2 linked regions of the Oryctolagus cuniculus genome follow. The protein of the gene in region 2 purifies or fractionates together with the protein of the main gene of each other region. This does not show direct contact. Links are inferred from orthologs where the notes say so. Each region holds a gene or a part of one and is shown on either strand. Other genes may lie near its edges.

Evidence for each region.
Region 1: the proteins of TCOF1 (region 2) and ARRB1 purify together in Homo sapiens (affinity purification with western blotting; 5 studies listed by BioGRID and IntAct, with this or other methods). This does not show direct contact. The link is inferred for Oryctolagus cuniculus from reciprocal best matches to the Homo sapiens genes TCOF1 and ARRB1.

The regions. Positions count from the first base shown.
Region 1 is NC_091432.1:66,412,258-66,419,699, forward strand, and holds part of ARRB1 (beta-arrestin-1), read right to left. Parts: intron 7,201-7,442; coding exon 7,065-7,200; intron 6,358-7,064; coding exon 6,273-6,357; intron 5,977-6,272; coding exon 5,904-5,976; intron 3,712-5,903; coding exon 3,574-3,711; intron 2,872-3,573; coding exon 2,788-2,871; intron 1,375-2,787; coding exon 1,351-1,374; intron 1-1,350. UniProt on the Homo sapiens protein: Functions in regulating agonist-mediated G-protein coupled receptor (GPCR) signaling by mediating both receptor desensitization and resensitization processes.
Region 2 is NC_091437.1:37,673,758-37,681,199, forward strand, and holds part of TCOF1 (treacle protein), read left to right. Parts: intron 1-239; coding exon 240-355; intron 356-1,714; coding exon 1,715-1,828; intron 1,829-2,140; coding exon 2,141-2,378; intron 2,379-2,881; coding exon 2,882-2,964; intron 2,965-3,832; coding exon 3,833-4,013; intron 4,014-5,796; coding exon 5,797-6,336; intron 6,337-7,442.

The sequences.
Region 1 (7,442 bases), on a different chromosome or scaffold from region 2:
CCTCACTCTGCACTCTCCAAGATGGAGATCTTTCTAGGGGAGGAATGTAGGAGACCTCCTCCCCTGTCCCTGATGGAAACAGAACTTCCCCTTCCTGGATCAGGGCCCCCGGACACGGGGGCACGACTGCCCAGGCCAGTGCACACCATGGCCACTGGGGGCCCTGCAGGTGCCCTGAGCCCCGCCCATCTCAGACGGCCACAGCCACCTCGGCCCTTCCCAACTCCTGGCTGGGAGTGTGCCCACCCCTCCCAGCACCTAAAACAGTGCCCAGCTGACCCTGGATACCTGCCACCTGCAGGAGGCACGGCTAGAGGTACATTTTACCAGTGTCGGGTCAGCTGGGACCCAGGGCCCAAGGCTGTCCACACAGGTTTGTGGTGAATGGGAGGCATCAGCCACCGGCCAGGGCTTTGGACTTGACCTTCTCTGCCGGGTCCCTGCGGGGCAGGACAGGGAGGGCAGAGATTTCCACGGCACTGACTCGGCCAAGGACTCTCCTGGGCACTTTCCATAAAGCAACTCGTTGAATCCTCACAACAACTGTATCATTGCCCCCAATGTATGGGTGGAGAAACTGAGGCACAAGGAGATGAAAGCATCCTGCCCAAGGCTACACAGCTATTCATGGGGAGTGACAGAGGATTCTGGCTCCAGGGCCACACCCTTCAGCACTGTGTGACAGCAGCGGCCTGAAGCCATCTTGGAGCAACACCCTTCACCCTGGGATCTCCATCCCGACCCTGACCCATGGGCACCTCCAGGGTCCGGCTGGGGAGTGGAGCAGTCAGGGGCGTAGGCTGAGCTGAGAGTGGATCCCGCCAGCCCCGCCACTCACTGGCACAGCACTGGGGTCCGGAAACCTCTGCTGAACTCAACCGAACAGAGCTGAATGACTTTCCTCTCACACTGGACTAAGTATTCTTGGGATGCTTGGCCAGGGATGCTTGGCCAGGGAGAAGCCAGGGCGTGCATCTTAGGAGGGTGGGTCTATCCGGCTGGCACCCAGGCCATCTCATGCACAAATGTGGCTCCCCGAAGGGCCTCTCCTTGGCTCACCAGCGGGCAAGTCGGGAAGTCACAAAGCCTGCACTTCTAAATACCCTGTAATCCAGTAGCTCGGGAATTCAGTGATTTGCTGCTGGCGAGAGCTGAGGACTAGCAGGGCGCAGCTTCCTGAGTAGATACTGTGTCTTTCTCGAGAGCATTCTGGCATCAGCACGCACCTGACCTTGGCCATCTGAAACGGCCACTAAGGGTCCTTCCAACCCAGCGCCCCATGCCCCTGCTCCATGGGGTATCTGGGCCCTGCAGGAAGGTAATCAACCAGGCCAAAGCGAGGGACATTACCTGGACGCAAGATCTCCCAGCAGGCTGGGTGGGTCAGAGGAGGCAGGAGGAGTGGTCAGGAGAGTTGAGAGAGGAAAAAACAGAAAGCACATTCATTCACCACCTCTGCTGCCCCTCAGACAGAGCAGACCCTGGGACATACACGCCCCCCTCCCCTGGGGGCGCACTGCCAAGCTCAGCAGGCCCTTTCCTTCGGAAAGCAGGTGCACACGTGAGCTCCGGGGCCGCCACGGTGGCACAGGGCGCCAAGCCGCTGCCTGCGATGCGACATCCCACACCGGAGGCACAGGTCTGAGTCCCGCCCAGCTCCGTGCTAACACGCCTGGGAGGCAGCAGGTGATGGCCCAAGTAATGTGGGAGACCGGATAGAGTTCCAGGCTCCTGGCTTCAGCCTGGCCCAGAGCTGGCTGTTGATGCCATTTGGAGAGTGAACAGGGGGTGGAAGATCTCCTCCCTCCCCCTGCAAAAAAAAAAAAAACCCACTCCAGTGCTGCCTGCCCTGCCTGTGGTTCACCAGGAGCACTGCACAGGAGACGCCATGTCTAATGGATTTAGCTTTTCTTTTCTCTTTTAAGCTTTTATTCATTTATCCGGGAGGCAGAGACACAGAGAAAACTCCCATCCGCTGGTTCGCTCCCCACTGAACTGCAACAGCGAGGGCAGCCGAAGCCAGGAGCCAGGAACCCAATCCAGGCTGCCTGTGTGAGTGGCAGGAAGCCAGCTCTCTGAGCCACACCGCCGCCTCCCAGGGTCCCCATCAGCAGGAAACCAGCGCCAGGCCTCAAACGCAGGTGCTGTGGCACGGGCATCCTCAACCCGCTGCACACCTGCCCCTACACGGCTGTTCAACCTCGCTACAGACACTCCTAAACTAAGTCAGAACAAGTTCTCTGACCCGTGAGAAATCCCGGTTCCGGTGTATAACACGTCCGTCCAGGACGTGGGGAGAGGGGAGGGCTGCTCTGAGTCCCCACTGACGAACTCTGCTCGGGGCAAGGAAGCACCTGGTCCCCGGCTGTGACCCCGACACCCAGGCCGCACCCTGACCTTCATGGGGGTGGCAAACTGTGGGCCTCAGCTTCCTGCCCTGTAAAACGGGAAAGCCAGGCCAGCCAGCAAACCCCCAATCTGCCTGAGTCCCTTGGGCTATGTCCCCAGCGGGAGTGGGGTGGGTGCTGCACTGCAAGGTGGGTGAGGGGCTCAGTCCCCCCGGGACCCCCAGCATGGATGTCCTCCCCTGGGGCCCTGGCCGACCCTCAGTGCACGCTCCAGACACAAAGAGGAGGGTGAGGATGGGGAGGAGGAAGAGAAGGGACAGGAAGCCTCGTGCCCAATCCTGCTGCGAACGAGAAGATGGACCGGAAGGCAGGGGAGGGGGGCGGGGGCTGTGGGCGCGGACGGCCCCTGGGTGCCCTCAGGCTCAGCTCCCGCACTCACCCGCCCCGTGACACCACCAGCTTGACTTTCACTTTGTAGGAGACGATGATGCCCAGGATCTCGCGGTTGGCCCCTTCCCGCATCCTGTGGGCGACAGGGGAAGCTGGCTGGGAGGCCGATGTGGGTGTGCGGCAGTAGGGGCAGCGGCCACCGTGTCCCACGGGCCTCCCTCCCCTGGCCGCAGCCCTGCTCCTCCCACCCTCCAGGGAGCCAGCGGCCACGGGGGCCAGGGGCCAGGGCTCAGGGAAGGCCTTCTGGGAGACCTGGAGGATGGCGGGAGTGGGGGGTGGGGGGCAGGGGCAGGGAGCAGGCAGGTCAGCGGGCAGTCCAGGCGGGGGTGGTGAGGACACAGTGTAGCCAGAGCCAAGGGACCACATTCAGAGTGGACCAAAGTCCCCAAGGGAGGGTGGCATGACTGCTTCTCCCGCAGGGCCTTACCAGAGCAGAGAGGCCTGGAGAATCAGAGGGACAGGGGCAGCCACGTGGTCCTGGGGCAGCCCACACCTCGTGTGGCCCAGCTCGCCACCCCACCCCTCCTGTCCACCCTCTGCCGCCAGGGCCCTTCCAGGCGCCACTGCCTTCCTCCCAGCCTTGCGGGTCAGCAGCTGCCACCTCTTACAGGAAGCCTTTCTAGGTTGCCTCCCCCCGAGTGACTGACAGAGCAAGGCAAGTGGATCTAGCAGTCTGGGGGACAGCCTCCCTGACAGGTCGAGCTCCTAAGGGCAGCCCAAGCTCTGTCCTCACACTGGCGCACGGCAGGCGTGGGGGTGGGGGGCAGGGCCTCACAGGGTGCTGGAGGCCAGGTTCGTGTCCTCGTGCTTGAGCTTCCCATCCAGGGCGAGGCCCCGCTTCTCTCGGTTGTTGGCCAAGAAGGGGGTGAGCGTGTAGACCTTGCAGAACGTTGAGCTGGGCGCCACAGTGTCGCTGGGAGGAAGAGAGGCAGGTGTGGACTCGTTCCCCCTCCCCCTGCCAGGACACCCAGCCTGGCCCCACCCCGGGCAGGCAGACCACTGCCCCACGACATACACGGTCCAGCCGGGTACACTGCACTAAAAGCCACCGCACACACCCCGCACCCGCCACCTCGGTCTATGGTCTACACCGAGGACCTGCTGGGGGCGGGCACGCGGCCTGCTGGTTAAGACACCACTCGGGACGCCGGTTTCCCTCACTGCAGGGCCTGGATTCGCAACGGGGCTCCAGCTCCTGAGCCCAGCTTCCTGCAGTGTGCACCGTGCGCCCTGGGAGGCAGCGGGGATGGCTCAGTGATGGGCGCCTGCACCGAGTTCCTGGCTGTTCCCCTCCCCTGCCTCCATCCTTGCCACCTGTGGTGGGCGTCTGGGGAGGGACCCAGCAGCCAGGAGCTCTGTCTGCCTCTTAACAGAGTACAGAAAACCCGGAGTCTGCTGCTCTGTCTGTCCTGGGTCTGTCCATCACACACAGGGCACTTAAGTGTCCCATGTTCACCTGCTTCTGCGCCAGCCGCCCTCCCCCACTGCTGCCCAGGGCCAGGCCCAGGCCCAGCTTGCGCACCGCGGCTCCGCGAGGCCAAGTGAGTGAGTCATGTGTCTGGGAGCCCAGTTCCGATGCACACATGGCCTGGGCCACCGCCACCTCTGCCTCCCGCTGTGTGTTGTGCGGGTGCTGGCACGCCCTGCACAGCCTGGGAGAGCAGGCGAGGGGCCTTCAGGAAGTCCGTGCAAAAGTGCACTCGAAGCAAACTGCGTGTGTATTTCAAACTTTCTGCACCAAAATAAACCTCTCTTTCAATTTTTTTTTTTTTTTTGACAGGCGGAGTTAGACAGTGAGAGACAAAGAGACAGAGAGAAAGGTCTTCCTTTTTCCATTGGTTCAGCCCCCAAATGGCCGCCACGGCCGGCGCGCCTCCACGATCCGATGGCAGGAGCCAGGTGCTTCTCCTGGTCTCCCATGGGGTGCAGGGCCCAAGGACTTGGGTCATCCTCCACTGCACTCCCGGGCCACAGCAGAGAGCTGGCCTGGAAGAGGAGCAGCCGGGACAGAATCCAGCGCCCCAACCAGGACTAGAACCCGGGGTGCCGGCACCGCAAGGCGGAGGATTAGCCAAGTGAGCCACAGCCAGCCTTTTAATTATGTTTTGAAAATTATTATTTGAGAAGCAGACAGAGACAGACAGAGACAGCTTCCCTCTGCCGGTCCCTCCCCTCGGGGGCCCTCGGGGGCTGAGACTAAGCCAGGAGCTGGGAACTCATCCAGGTCTCCACACCCTTGAGCCCCCGCTGCCTCCCAGGTGTGGCATCAGCAGGAAGCTGGAGCCAGGACTTGAACCCGTCCACTCATCTGTTGACTCCATTTTCCAGGAAGTGTTTGAAGTCACCCTGTGTGTTGCTCGGGCTCTGGGTCCCATCACTTTACCTCTATGCACCTGCGGCTCTGTTATTGTTGTCTTAATGAATGGTGACTGTAAGAAACAGCCAATGATAGAGCAGTGTTGGCTCTGATCAGGGCATGCTCACCCACGGGACAGGAGAAACTAGCCAAGGACTACGTGGTAATACTTTCAAAATGTTTTGAGTTGAAGAAATCCGGACTGCAATTATATGTAAACATATACAAGTGTGTGAGGTTACATAAGGCACACTGCCAAAAAAAATATTTGCAGGAACTTCTAACGGGAGCGCCTACTGCGTTTAGGTAATTAAAGATGTTTCACCTGCAGTCTCTGCTCCTGCCTTGGCACCAAGCTGGGGACGAAGTTCTGCTGCGGCCATAGCAGCCCCCCTCAAACCCAGAACTTCTCGGGGTACCCTCCCAAATGACTCCTTTCATGGGAAAAGCTGTACACCCTCTGCCTTACCCTCTTTGCCTTGGCTACCAGGAAGCTCAGTGCCAAGTCCTCCCTTCAACCTGGGTTTCTGACCTTGTATGATTCCCCCTCCCCACAGCTCCAGTCCCCTTACATTCACCAGCCTTTCTTTTGTCATTTCTGTTTTTCCGGGTCTTTCCCTCGACTAGAGAACTTTTCATGGCCTTCTGGAAGGCTCTTGCATCTCCCACCCTGCGGGGCAGGAAGGTCAGGGCCCAGGACTCCTTTCCCAACACTTCCCGTGTCCAGCACAAGGCATCCGCTCACTTACTCGGCCTCCTCCATGGCCACAGGGCACTTGTACTGCGCGGTGTTGAAGAGGCAGATGTCTGCGTACTGGCGCACTGCGGTAGGGGACAGCAAGGTGCGTGAGCCCTTGGGGCAGCCGGAGGGGAGACCACCTTCATCCTGCCCCCCAGTGGCGTGGCCTGAGACCCCCCCCCCTTCCCTTCCGGGACAGCTCCGCCCCAAACCCGGGACACCTAGGAGACACAGGCGACTGACAGGTGACCTGGCCAATAGAAGGCCGGAGGCACCAACAAGCACCACGCCCGCGGCTCGAAGCTGGCAGGGAGGAGGCCGCTAGCAAGGGCAGGTAGGTCCCTGGGCCATCCCTCCTCGCCCGCCCCCGACCGGGTACCCGAGATCTTGATCTTCTTCACGGTCTTGTTGGTGTTGTTGGTGACGTGGACGTTGACACTGATGGGCTCCCCGTGGTAATAGATCTGGGAAGGCGGGAGGAGAGGGTTGGCGGGGAGGCCCCCCAGACCCGGCTGTTCAGACCGCCATCCCCGGTCCTGCGGCCGCAGTGCGCTTAAGTGCAGGCGGCATGGACGCCACCACGCCCGTGAAGCTTCAGCTTCCCAGCGGGGCGCTGCCCAGACCCCGCCCAGGTGAGCAGGTGGTGGTCCTGGGCCCCAGTCCCAGTCTGGCCACTCATAACCCTGGGAACAACAGTGACCATGACAGCAGCCTGACCGTGGGCCTCAGGGTCTTTGTGTGATGAGGGCCACGGCTCAGGTCCCTGCTGGCTCAGGCTGCGGGAGGGGGTGTGGGGGTGTGGACGGTGTTCAGACCGGGGAGGGTGAGGAGGGCAGTGCCGCTCGCAGAGGGTGCCTCAGCCCGCCTCCTGTCCCAAGCACCCGCCTGCAGCTGCCCCCAAGAGCCAGAGCAGGTGCCCACAGCTCAAGGAAGGGATCAGGAAGCTGGGAGCTTGGGGCGCCCTCTCCCTCCCGTGCAGCTTGCTGCCCAGGTGTTCACTGGGGGGAGGGGTGACCCGGCCCCTCCCACTGACACTGCTCCCCTCTGCCACTCCTCCAGGCCCTGGGAGGCTTCCTCATGTTCCCAGGGGAGAGCTGAGATGGCCTGACCTGTGACCCTAGAGCTGAGGTCTGAGGTCCAAGCCCCCTGCCCACAGGCCCGCGTTCCCTACCTCCTTATCCAGGGAGGCCTCCAAGTGCAAGGGCTTGTCTGACATGAGGAACTGCCTGGTGGTCTCAGCCGTGGGCTGGGGGCCGGGCCTCTCTGGAGCATACTGAACCTTCCGGATGACCAGACGCACGGAGTTCCTGGTAGACGTGGGAGGAGGGAAAGGTGACCAGAGTCCCCCGCCCCGGGCCCCTCCTCGTGTCCCCCATAGCCCTCTTCTGCTCCGCAGACCCCCAGGCCCCATCGCCTCAGGAAGTTGACATAATCCCCCACCGCCAATTCTTTCCGTCCCAGAACCACCTGGGGCAGCTGCTTTTGGGGAAGGCACGCTGGTCTCTGTCTTATTCCCCGTATCTGCCAAGTGAACACATGCAGAGGGCCC
Region 2 (7,442 bases):
GCGGAGGAAAAGAAACTCACTGCCATAGCAGCTCTTCGGGCCCCCTCAGCCCAGCTGTGACACAGGGACAGCGCCCGCCTGGCAGGCTCGAGGAGGGGCTATGCCAGCTTCCTCCTGTAGAAGCCCTGAGCGTGGCACAGGGCCCCAGGAAGGGCTGAGTGCTGGACTGGGGTATTGCCAGTGCTGGGGAGGCCGTGGGGCTCCTGGGCACTTACTTGCCCCATCCCTCTCTTTTTCAGCCTACAGAACCAGCGTGGTGCCCACTGGCCACCCAAGGACAGGCCTTGGGGCCAGCGGCAGCGAGGAGAGCAGTCGGGTGTCAGAAGGCAAGAAGCAGGAGACACCAGCCCCGCAGGTACCTGCACAGGCCTGTGGGGCAAGGGGCTACAATTGGCTGTCACTTGCACACTTGTGCACCCCGGCGGTGGCAGTAGCCAAGGCCTTCCTGGTCTTGTGGCCACAGCCCGCAGGTTTCAGAGCCACCTTAAGCTGTCAGGAAGAGCAGTCTGGGGACACAGCTCTGCTGGCCAGTTGCATTTTTGTTTTCTTTGCATGAACATGATAAATGCTCTACTTAAGCATGTGTTATGGTGACTTTATCAGTCTCCCTGACAGTCACCATTTCAGTGCGTGTTTGGTCCTTGCCTGAATCTCAAGACTGCGCAGGGCAGGATTGGTGGCCCACTATCTCAATGTTGAAACTAGCGTGCACTCCCCAGGGGCCTCCAGTTTGACCGGGCCTGGGCTCGGCAGACCTAGCTCTTGGCCCTCAGCATCTTTGGCCATACTAGTCTGCTGCCCATCGCCTGGAGAGATGCCCACTGCAGACTCCATGCCTCTTTCTGAGGCACTGGTACCTGGGCATGCCCCCCTCTCACTGGCTCTTCACGAGCCACAGTCCAGGGAGAGTTTCTGGGAGCATGGGTGCTGGGTGGGTAGCCAGGCTGGGGTCACAGCCCCCAAAACCCTGTATCCCTCCATGCCAGGCCTTGGGGCTGAGGCCAGAGCAGGACGGGGAGGACAGCAGCCATTAAACAAAAAGTTCTCACCAAATTGGAGGTGCTGCAGAGGGCACCAAGCGCAAGCTCAGGATGATGGGGTGACCTGCTATAGGAAGTTGGGCAGGGAATGCTCGCCCGGGAGGTGGCCTTGAAGCAGGGGACGTGGCCGCGTACAGGGTGTGCTGGGGTGCCATGCAGGCAGGAAGGCCATGGTGCCATGACCCCAGGCCTGGGAAAGCATCTAAGAGAAGGTAGGGAGAAAGTAGCAAAGGCAGAGGGGCTGTGCGACAGCTGAGGGGCCCTGCGTGGGAACCTTGAGGCCCTCTGCAAGGACTCTCCCAGCTTTGAGTTCTCTCCAAGTGCTGGTGGGTGGAAGAAGTAGGAGTGGTACCAGGGAGACCACGAGGCATGAGATGGGTCTCCGAGGAGGGCAGAGACTGAGTGTGGAGCTTCCTGTAGGGCCCGGGCCCCTTCCCTGCTTTGGCCTAGGAAGCTCGCTCTGTGCTTTGAGAACACGGACCAGCTCATAACCTGAGGCCTGGCACTCCTTTCTCTGCCTAGAGAGTGATATTGCTCTTATGACTGTCCCTCAGCCCCCCAACTCAAGTCCCATGGTCCCCTCCCACCGCAGCCAGACCTAGTCTGATCCAGGCACGGCCTAGGTGACACCCCAAGAACCCATGAATTTCAGGGCTGCTATTTGCTATCCACAGGTGGCAAAGAGGAACCCAGCATCCCTCCCGCTGACCCAGGCTGCCCTGAAGGTCCTCGCGCAGAAAGCAAGTGAGGCCCAGCCTCCTCGTGCCAGGACCCAGTCTTCAAGCGGGGTGAGTCTGGGGAGCCCGGGGACCACACCGCCTCGCTTTGCTCCAGAGGCAAGGCTGTGTTCACCTTTCAGCCCCGCCACAGGGTGCAGATAGGAGGCTGCGGGTGTGGCCGAGTCCCGGCCGCAGGCCTTGCTGCCCTGGCACATCAGTGCTGTCTCGATGTCCCTGGGGCACGGTGGGCTGATATGGGAGAAGGACTTGCAGGACCCCTCTTCAGAGTGGTGGGAAGCATCTCAGGAGGCCCAACACTGAAGTGTTCAGGCAGGACCAGGTCTTACCCTGATACTTCCTTCCATTCTTAAACCAAATTAGGTTGACGGGACTGTGGGAACACTCCCCGTGACGAGTCCTCAGAGCGCCGCTGTCCAGGCCAAAGTGACCAGTAACCTCAGAAAAAGCAAAGGCCAGCAGACCACAGCCCCTCCCTTGGGACACCCCAAGGCCAAAGCCCCTGGGAGTTCAGATGACAGCGAGGACAGCAGCAACAGCTCCTCAGGGAGCGAGGAGGGTGCCGAGGGACCCCAGCTGACCAAGTCGACCCCCAGGCCAGGTAAGGTGCGGGGGGGGGGGGGGAGGGACGGGCAGCCCAGGGGAGAGAGAAGCGCACCTAATGGAGCAGCAGGCCGTGGCCTGAGCTCTGGATCTCGAATTTTTCCATGGCCTGGGCCAAGTGGTTGCACGCTGGGCTACAGCTTCCCCGCCTGCACAACTCCGTGAGGGACTCAGTACAAATGATTTCAAAGACCTGACCCCTGGCAGCGTTTTGATATGCTCCCTTTAATGACCAACTCCCTAAAATTCCGGGTTCGTGTTTCCCCGACGAGGGAAGGTGGGGAAATATGAGTGGTGTCTTGGGAATTAGAAACCAAGGCTTGGGCGTTGAGGTGTCACCTGGAATGCTGTGGATGGGGACCCATAGGAAGCCTTGGGCAGGTGGGTGAGGACACACCCAAGATCAGGGCCTCCCCAGGCCCTTCTGAAGAGCTCTGCTCTGCCCTGCCCAGCTGGCAGGAGCCACCAGGGACTCCCGACAGGATACCTGTGCTTCTCCAGCAGGTTCAGTCCCCGCTGGGAAGGAGACCTTGGTGGAGGAGACCTCCGAGTCCAGTGAGGATGAGGTGGTGGCGCCTTCCCAGGTAACTGCGGGGCGGGGGACAGTGTTGGTGACTTCATGCGTCTTGGGCCGGGAACCCCGGGCCAGAATCTGATCTGCCTTGCGTAGTCCTAGGCTGAGGCCGACCCCGGGCAAGGTCCCGGTTGCAAGCCACCAGGTGTGGCCCAGGCAGCACAACACAGCCAGGCTGCTCCTGCCCCAAGGTTGCACTCAGCTCAGAGCTGCAGGTTGTCAGCCTCTGGGGCTGTAAGAAAGACTGCGCTGCGTTCTGAGTGGCGCCAGGCAGAATGCAGGGGGCTGCCCCTGTCCGCGGCACGTGCTGCTGATGGTTTGCTTTTTCTTAGTTTTTGGTTTTGGTTTTCTTTGTTTTGTTTATCTGAAAAGCAGAAAGAGACGGAGGTGTCTTCGTCAGCTGGTTCACTCCCCAAGTGACCGCTATAGCCCAGACTGGGCCACGTGAAGGCCAGTAGCCAAAAACTCAATATGGGTCCCCCACGTGGGTGACGGGGACACAAGTACTTGAGCCATCCCCTGCTGCCTCCCAGGGTGCACATTAGCAGGAAGCTGGAATGGAGAGCAGAGTTGGGACCCTAACCTGGGCACTCCCATATGGGATGTGGGCGTCCCACGCAGCAGTTTAACTGCTGTACCAAATACCAAACCTCCGTTTGCATTTATAATAGGAGATTTCCTTTTTAAACGTGTCTGCATTGATTAAAATAATTTAGAAAGTGTACACGGAAGTCCCCCTTGGGGACTGTAGTGTCCACTCTGCATTGACAGGCCTGGCCTGGACCTGGATGTGCCAGGACTGGCTTCCTCCCAGCAGGCCGTGTGGCGGGGGCAAGGTGGGGTGGGCTGGCGGCCTCTTTCACACTGGGCTTCTGCAGTCTCTCCTCTCAGGTTATGTGGCTCCTGGGCTGACCCCAGCCAATTCCCAGGTTTCAAAGTCTACTCCCAGGCCAGACTCCAACCCTTTAGTTTCCTCTACTCCGGCTACCAAAGATGACCTGGATGGCAAGCAGGAGGCAGAGCCACAGCAAGCCGTGGGCACTGTGTCCCCTAAAGCAGGTGAGTTAACAGACACAGCAGGATGTGGGAAGACAGGGCCGTGGGTCCCTTCTTGCCCTGCCCCAGCAGCACTCCCACCAGTACCTGTCCAAGTGAGGCCTTGTGGTTCTGCCGTGGGCCTGGAGGAGCTCATCCAGGCACAGGGATTGTCTGTGGTCTGGGGTGGCCTGACGTTGAGTTGTATCCTGCCCCGAGGGGGTGATATGCCTGTGGGATGCCCCTGCCTAGAGGAAGCAGCATCTTCGGCCTGTGGAGTGGGCCTTGCCTTTCTCTAGCCGTGCTTGCTGACTCGTCTTCCCAGCGAATGGGCTCCTGGGCCCGTGTGGGGCTCAGACCAAAGGGTGGGCCATGTGTGGAAGAGTCTTGGCACATGGAGGACACTCTGGCTAAGGGGTGGCCCCCAGGCTGTTCCGCCTTGCCCTAAAGCCTCCCAGCAGGCCATCAGCCCCTGGGCCTGTGTCTTAACAAGGCAGGGGTCAGTGTCTCTGGTCTGAATCAAGCTGTGCCCCCCCCCCCACCTTGGAAAATAGCCGCATGATATTTGAAGAGTAGACCAGAGGACTGAGGTCACCCGACCTGGACATTTGTCATCCCTGACACTGCCAGAGCTACAGGGCAAGTGTCCCGGATGGACACACCTACGACAGCACTAGGGGTTCCTCAGCCTCCACGTTCAGAGCCGTTTGTGGATAAGGAGCAGAGCAGTGAGCTCTGGGGCAGGGGCTGTCAGGGCAGATGGCAGAGCAGTGAGCTCTGGGGCAGAGGCTGTCAGGGCAGATGGCACACTCAGCTTTCCTTTCCAGATGGCTCTTGCCCTTGCCAAGAGTCCCCAAAAGACTGGATCGGGCTTCCTCCGGCCGGCGACCCCCACACGGGGCTGGGGCATAGTCAGGCTCCCTGCACACCACAGGGAGCAGCACCAGCCTCGTGCGACACAGAGTGCCCTGCTGGGCCTCTCCCAGTGGACCTGTCCAGGGCTGGTGTGGTGGAGCCCTGTGCCGCGTGGTCCTGGGGTCAGAGGCAGCACTGGGGTCCAGTCCCCCGGCTTCTCGGTGCAGCTCGCCCCGGGCTGGGTCAGGAGCAGAGCCACTGCTCACTTTCTTCTCCAGTGTTCTCCTTGTTGGAGGCGGGTGCGACAAGGAGATGTTTTAGAGGGGGCTGTGGAAGGTTTTTTTAACACGTGTAGTCAGCACACAATTATCAAAGGCAGGCAGAGGCGTGGAAAATTCTAAACAGAGGCTGTACCAGAAGTCGCTCTGGCAGGCAGTGAATCTGCTTAGTCAGCCACCACGTGTGCGCCAGGACACCTGGCACCGAGGCGATGGGCCCACCGTGTCAAGTGGGCAGAGCCATGCGCCTGCACGGCGTTCACTTCCATTGGGAGTCCACTGCGGATGACAGGAACCTTAAGACCAGGAGGAGCAGAGGCTGGCCAGAGTCACAGCAAAAAGGGGTGGCCTAGCGTGGCCCAGAACCCAGGCTCCAGCCTCCAGCTACACACGCGGTTTGCCCTGGCCTGCCTTCCACGTCCCAGTTACGCTCCAGCTCTAGGTCGGGCTTGTCTGAGTGGAGGTTGGAGTGAGAGAGAAGCTGTAAGTTAGAAGTGAGGTCAGTGTAGGAAGCTGGCAGAGGCGTGGGCTTAGGAGCCAGATTGGGGCGCAGTGACCCGTAGGCTGCACTTTCCTCATCGGTGCCATTGTCGGGAGGCAGGGTCTCCCCGGAACCTCCTCAGCTCTCATACCCCCAGCTCCCATAGGTCTGACCCCAAGTTCTTTCTCCACAGGTAGAAAACAGGCCACCTCTGGAACCACACCTCAAAAGCCCCGGAAGCCCAAGAAGGGCGCCCCGGGCACCCAAGCCTCAATCCTGCCAAGCAGCATCACCCAGCGCCTCCTGGGCGAGCCCTGGCCCCTGAGTGAGGCCCAGGTGCAGGCCTCGGTGGTGAAGGTGCTGACGGAGCTGCTGGAGCAGGAGAAGAAGAAAGCCCTGGACGCCTCCAAGGAGAGCAGCAAGAAGGGCCGCAAACGCAAGCTGGTGGTGGACCAGCTGGCCCCCAAGGCCCCCAAGAGCAAGAAGAAGAAGCCGGCGGCGGCTGGGGAGTGTAGGGAGGGCGCTGATTCTCAAGAAAAGGCCTCCCGGACTTCCAAGGGGAAAGCAAAGAAAGACAAAGCGAGTGGTGATGGCCAGGAGAAGAAAGGGAAGGGGCCTTTTGGCTCCCCAGGGGCCAGGGACAAGTCAGAAGGGGAGCTCGGAACAGCGAAGGTTGAGGGAGGCGATCAAAGCAACTCGAAGAGCAAGAAGGAGAAGAAGAAATCTGACAAGAGTAAGTGACTTGATATCCTCAGGCCACGCTAGGGGCTGCCAGGGACCCACAGGGCCAGGAGGCTCAGCGCTGGTCTCTCTCCCACAGGGCGGGTGAGGACAGGCTGGGAAGTGGTTTGTCCGGGATTGTGGAGACAGCTAATAGCAGGCAAGATGGGATTCCAGAGCACCTGGTCAGTGCTGCCAGGGAAGCCCCGGGGCGGCCTGCTTCCCTGCCACCTCCCTGAATGCAGAGGGGACCCGAAAGCAGAACCCCTGAACCTCAGGCCCAGCTCTGCCCTCCCGGCCTGTTTCCCGGTAGTAGCAGCGGTCTTGATCGAGCTCTGTGCTAGGCTGCGTGCCCCGGGACTTCCTTTCACCCTCAGGCAGTTGGGGTAGGCCGTGCTGTTTTTTAAAAAAGTGTGTAGAAGTTTTAAATTACAGTGAGTTAATGTAAAATAGTCATGGTGGACGTTTGGTACACAAGTTAAGGTACCACTTGAGACACCGTAAACATCAAGTACCTGGGTTCTAGTTCTAGTTCCACCCCCGCTGACAATTCCAGCTTGCTAATTGTGCACCCGGGAGGTAGCAGGTACTGACTCACGTTCTTGGGTCCCTGCTACCCACACAGGAATCCCAGATTGAGTACCAGGCTTCTGGCTTTGGCCTGGCCCATTCCCAGCTGGTGCAGGCTTTTGGGGAGAACAAGTAGATGAAGATCTGTTTCTGGATCTCATCTCTCTGCCTTTCAAATGAATAAAATAAATAAATAATTATAAAGATTGTTTTTGAAAGAAAGCAAGACAGAGACAGATCTTTGATCTGCTGGTTCACTCCCTAAATACCTGCAACAGCTGGTGCCAGGCCAGGATCCCGGGACCTATCCGGGTCTCCCATGGGGGTGGCAGAAACCCAAGTGCTTGATCCATCACCTGCTGCCTCGCAAGGGCATTAGGAGAGAGCTGGATGGGACGCACAGGACTTAGACCAGCGTTCCCGTGGATGAAGGCATCCCAGGCAGCCGCTCAGCCCCTTCACCAAAATACCTAGCCCTAATGAATAAAAGTGTGAGTAACACGAGATAGAGGCCAGGTGGCATGGATGAGAAGGAGTCTGAGGCTGGCC